Linked DNA regions of Daphnia pulex. Each later gene encodes a partner of the first gene's protein in a complex. Links are inferred from orthologs where the notes say so. Each region holds a gene or a part of one and is shown on either strand. Other genes may lie near its edges.

Region 1 (2,349 bases):
CAGCATCTAATCGCATTCCACCGCGCACATTGCAAGAAGCCGGATTGATGGCAGTTGGCTACAGGTAGTCAATTATTCGAAGTCTGTCGTCGAATAGCTTAAATGATTTTTACACCCAATTGTTCTAATTCTACATTTCTCAATGCATTATTCAAGTGCTGCATGGGAAGCCAAAGTAATGACTACAGCTTGGTGGGTTGAGAGTTCGCAAGTCAGCAAGACTGCTCCATCAGGAGAATATTTAACAACAGGATCTTTCATGATTAGAGGAAAGAAAAATTTTCTCCCTCCTTTACCTATCGTTCTTGGATTCGGACTTCTTTTTCGGTTGGAAGAAAGCAGTATTGCAAGGTAACAAGCAACTAAAATTGTTCTTGCGTTATGAACTTTTCTTATTTTAAATTCGTTAAAAGGCACTTGAATGATCGGAAGCCTAAAGCACTGGATGATGAATCACCTATTTTGGACACCGAAACCGTGGATGAGCCTGTTTCGTGTTCAAGTGACTCTGAAAGTGATGGAGATGAAAAAAATGATTATGCTAAATGTAAAAAAATTAGAAAAATTCATATATATTTGTGAATGTGACTTAATTTTATGTTACAGCGATAGAAAATGCCCGTGCTTTGCTTAGCTTATCTCGTGTTACCGACAACGCAGAAGTGGCCTTCCCCGATACTGTTGTAGATATGAGCACATCATCAGGAAACCGTAACAAAATTAAAGCTCTGAACGAAGATGAATCGTACACCATAATTGGAGATGTACTGACCATAAACAAAACTCAAAGAGATGGCAAAAAAGTAGAAGTAAAAGAGGAACCAATCAAGTCAAACCAGTCGTCTAAGAAAATGACAGAGTCGATTACTCAAGAAACGGAAGGTGAGAAAAATCAACAACCGACTTCGAAGCGGGGACAAAAAGGAAAAATGAAGAAAATAAAAGAAAAGTACAAGGATCAGGATGAAGATGAAAGACAACTCAAGATGGAGCTTTTACAGGTATTTCTATAATTAACTTTTTTTTTTCAAAAAGAAATCTTTCTTATGTATTTAAAAAATGTTAGTCCGCTGGTCCCGCTAGAGACAAAGGAAAGAACAAGAACAAGAAAAAAGGAAAGAATACTGAAACGAAGAAAGTTGTCTTCTCAAAGACAACCGTCCCAGGATTGAAAAAAGAAGAAATCCTCGTAGAGACAGAGGCAGTTCCAGTAAAAAGTGATGAGACGCCAGCCACTCAACAGCCAGCAACGGATCGGCAGTTGGCAACAGAACAGATCGTACTACTAATATTACTTTTATAAAGCATAACAATGGAATTCAATTAATTATTACTTAAGGAGGAAAATGCTGAAGGAGACGGCATAGATGAGGATGTTGATCAGCCCGTTATCACAGACACTGATATTTTGAACGCAATGACAGGAATTCCTCAACTTGAAGATGAATTACTTTATGTCATCCCGGTTGTAGCACCGTATTCTACTTTGATGCCCTACAAGTATTGATAGCAGAAGAATTACCATTATAATTTTTTATTTTCTAACAATATCTGTTTGCCCTTCAAAGATATAAGGTAAAAATCCTACCAGGACAAACTAAAAGAGGAAAGGCATCCAAGACGGCAATGTCGGTTTTCTTATCGGATAAAACTGCGACCAACAGGGAAAGGGATCTTATTAAGAGCTTGAAAGATCAAGATGTTGGACGTAATTTCCCTGGGCGAGTCAAGTTAGCTATACCCCAGTCTCTGAAGCCAAAAAAATAATTGTTACGACGCGAAATTTACTTTTCAAAAAGAATACACATTTTTGTCATTTTGATCGAATTTGTATTTCAAAGAAATAAATCGCCTGTCGGAATGGAAAAGAAATTTTTTTTTTAAATTGTTTTACAGATTTTTCAAGCGTAATAGTCTGGGAGCTGGGCGACCAAAAAATGTTTTTTCTTTAGCAAAAGGTTTGAAGCTAAAATATGGTTAGGGGGGGTATGACACACACGAAAAGCCAAGTCTGTCGACTGGCGGCCGGGGCGTTCAAGCGTGACGCGATCCCGAAGTCGGCGGGAACCGTAAAAAAATCAACTTTGTTTAGCAAGCCCAAATTTTCCCTAGAAAGCAAGTTAACATTATGTTGATCAATAATCCCGCAAGACAGACGTCAAATTACGGGACTATAATACCAACAGACCATCTTAAAAATTAATAAAACCGTAAATTTTTTCATTTTAGTTTAGAAAATCCAATTTTTACATTAAAAAATAGAGCAACATTTGATTTATAATAATCCCGGTAGACAGACGTCGATATCTGAGCCCTTGGGGGCACCAGACGTCGGTGTGTAACGGTTTT
Region 2 (3,065 bases), on another chromosome or scaffold:
ACAGTTTCATTAAATGTGTGTCATTTAAGTATAGTTGCAATTCGCATACTTGCATTCCTATAGCAACAAAATATTAGCCAATAACGTAAAATTATATAACAATCAAATGTTTGCGGTAGAAAGCGTTATCACGTAGTTAGTAACAAAACCAGTCAGACAGTCTCAATTAAAACAGAGGAGAGAATTCCCAATTAGGGAGCAATTAAAACGACAGGGGAACATGTTCACTTTCTGACGTTCTTTTATAATTTTGGTTGTTGCCCTTATACTCGCCACTTGGCAAAGCTATCAGTACATTTTTTTTCGGTCTTCAATTATCGTACAGCGGCGAGACCTGATCAGAATATTCAAATTTATTTTAACGTAACATAAATTATTCACATTTTTTTTTTCATCCACGAAATCTATTTAGAATAGTTGCTCATTTTCCGTTGCGATGTTAGCGGTGTAACACGACGCCAGACTATTCATCTTCATAATGGGTTCATCTTTCATTTGATCCTGCATCATTTGAACCCGATGAACCTAAGCAGTCAAAAATCAGGTCCATTATATAGTCATAAATGTTTCTTTAATTTTTGGCTCATTGTGAAAACCTATTTGCATAATAATAGTATAAAATATTTCATAAAAACTTGCACAATGAAGGTCACCGTGTCGAAAACAGACCACCTTTCAAAGCAAAATGAATACCAATATAAAAATAATTCGGAAATCGGTGCTTTCTTTTAAGAGTTAACTTTCAAGTGAGTCTTGTATTTATAATGTAGGGCCTATCGAAAACAAATGTATTACAAAATGTTACATTTTGATACATTACTTCAGTACCCAGCATTGAAGTTAACTAAAATTTGGACGGAATAACAATATTCGAATAAATGGAATGTCGATTTTTATGCTTCACAATCCCCAACGGGGATGGGTTTGCTCATCATCTAGACGGATCACCTAGAGAACATTGGAAAGGCAAGACGGAGCGTTAAATCCGTTATGATTGCAAGCAACAGATCTTAGATTGGAAAGACTACTCCATTGCTTGCCATCATCAAACACCTGTAAAATACCCCCAAAATTAATAATCAGTTGGAAATATTATTAAAGTTAATAGTAATTTTCACCTTATCATAAACAACCCACGGGACAAAAGTGAGAGTAGGTTGCAGAGTTAAAGTTTCCGTTCCATGCGCCACAGCCAATTCTTGGCCCTCGCTAGTCTTCGTGCAGGTGTCAATCGGTGTAAAGTCCAAACCGGCTAATTCGGCGCACTATATGAAATGGAAATATTTATAAAATTTCTTCAATTTTCATTCGGAGAATCCCGTACTAACCTGAGCTCCAGAAGTTGGTGCTCTCATCAGACACGATGCGTAGTTCAGCGCCTTATTATTGAAATAGAATTTAGTTTCCCAAGCTTTTATGAAACCCACATGTACATTTCGAAAGAGATACCTGAGTGTTGTCTTTACTGTATTTGATACCGCAGGCGTGCAGGATATTTCCAGTGCACTCAGCCGAACCGTGTTGACACTTGAAGGACCATCCACCCGATGAGTTTTGGGAAAACTACAAACAATTGTCAAGTTCATTGTATAAACAGGCAATTTCTGATTGCAACAAAGAAATAATAATAACGGGACATAGGACATACGCTTGCTTTGCCAAAAGGGATCAGCCTGAGGTTGACGAAAGAGGAGAGACTTTTCCATTGCGGCGCCAACTGATTGACCAAGAAGGCCCGGCTGTCGGGACACAAGGACTCGTAGTAGACGTCCAGATTCGTTCGTCCACTATTTCCGAGCTATTAAATCATCAAAACATTATGAAGGCACAGTCACGACTCACGAGTAAGAAATTAAAATCCAAACTGTCAACTAGATAAATTGAGCTATGCGAGGATGGAATGGCAGAGAAAATCATTTTTAAAGTTTCAGCTGTGTGACAAAACAAAAAGAATAAAACCCAACAAATATTTGAGGTTCAGCCGGAATGCGACGTGCGAGATTGATGAAATTCTTCGAGCAAAATAGTTGCCTACTATACAATTTCTATCACTTCCCTGAAATTCTGGCGTCAAGGTAGTTTTCAATACCTCCGCATGATTTCCAGCGGGGATGGCGCAGTCTATTGACCTTGGGTCCATGAGCCTTGCCTCTCCCCGGAGCTTTTTTTTCTTTTTTTAATTATTTCTTTCCTCTTATGTTTTTCTTAGGTGTTGTTTTGTTTTTACAATTTTAAGGTTAAACGAGAAAAAGGGGCGTGCCAACTTGCAAGGAAAATATTACACAATTTTTTTACAACACTTAAAATAACAAATCTTATAAATTAAGAAAAACAAGAAAATTATTAAACAATGTTTTACTTTAAATATATGAGCCAATTAAAATTAAAAATCTGAAATTAATTGACAATAATTAATTGTTATGCAAAATGATTACCCCAGCAGTGTTGACAAAGCTGACGCACAGCAAGGCAGAGGCTAACAAAAACTTGAACATTTTGGCAACTCACAAGGTGAAGTCTACAAGAAAGTTGAATTCAAGCACCGTCTGCAAGCACGTCCACTCTCTCCCGGAACTTGCTGAGCAATGTCTGCATATTCGAGCGAGCCGAACGACCAAGGCTATACATGTTATCCACTCCTCGATTCCTATTCTTTTCGCCTCTCACTGATCAAACAGGTGTGCTGAAGTGAGAGTCGAGCTGGACGCCAGCTGTGAATGTTTTCACGCGTGCATTGTAAACGAAACAACGGATCTTTTTTTTTTCAAATAATACAAAATTGTCCCAACAAAAAAGACTATTCTTCGTTGAAGTTGGCGCCAATAAACTGAAACTAGAACAAATCCATTACGATATTCTGGACAAAATCGAGGTCGCCAATTTACAGCTAAAATGTGCTGTGCTCTATTTCCTGGTTGAAACGCCCGTTGGTATCAGAATTTTCAAGGCGTGGCACTTGAGCGCCAAAAAAGTGCTACCCAATTGAACTAAAATACCAAAATGGCCATTCTGATCTTATTTCATTGAAGGCAGACTTACAGAATAAGGAACAACAAATCGTGTTA

Evidence for each region.
Region 2: nuclear export mediator factor NEMF-like (region 1) and transcription factor 25-like share a complex: the UniProt entries of both Homo sapiens proteins name them as parts of the ribosome quality control complex. The link is inferred for Daphnia pulex from reciprocal best matches to the Homo sapiens genes NEMF and TCF25.

Annotation. Positions count from the first base shown.
Region 1 is NC_060026.1:6,925,789-6,928,137, forward strand, and holds the end of nuclear export mediator factor NEMF-like, read left to right. Parts: coding exon 1-64; intron 65-156; coding exon 157-351; intron 352-413; coding exon 414-547; intron 548-606; coding exon 607-1,001; intron 1,002-1,066; coding exon 1,067-1,283; intron 1,284-1,337; coding exon 1,338-1,500; intron 1,501-1,568; coding exon 1,569-1,767; 3' UTR 1,768-1,822; downstream 1,823-2,349. UniProt on the Homo sapiens protein: Key component of the ribosome quality control complex (RQC), a ribosome-associated complex that mediates the extraction of incompletely synthesized nascent chains from stalled ribosomes as well as their ubiquitin-mediated proteasomal degradation.
Region 2 is NC_060022.1:854,595-857,659, forward strand, and holds the end of transcription factor 25-like, read right to left. Parts: intron 1,266-3,065; coding exon 1,119-1,265; intron 1,054-1,118; coding exon 949-1,053; 3' UTR 768-948; downstream 1-767. UniProt on the Homo sapiens protein: Component of the ribosome quality control complex (RQC), a ribosome-associated complex that mediates ubiquitination and extraction of incompletely synthesized nascent chains for proteasomal degradation.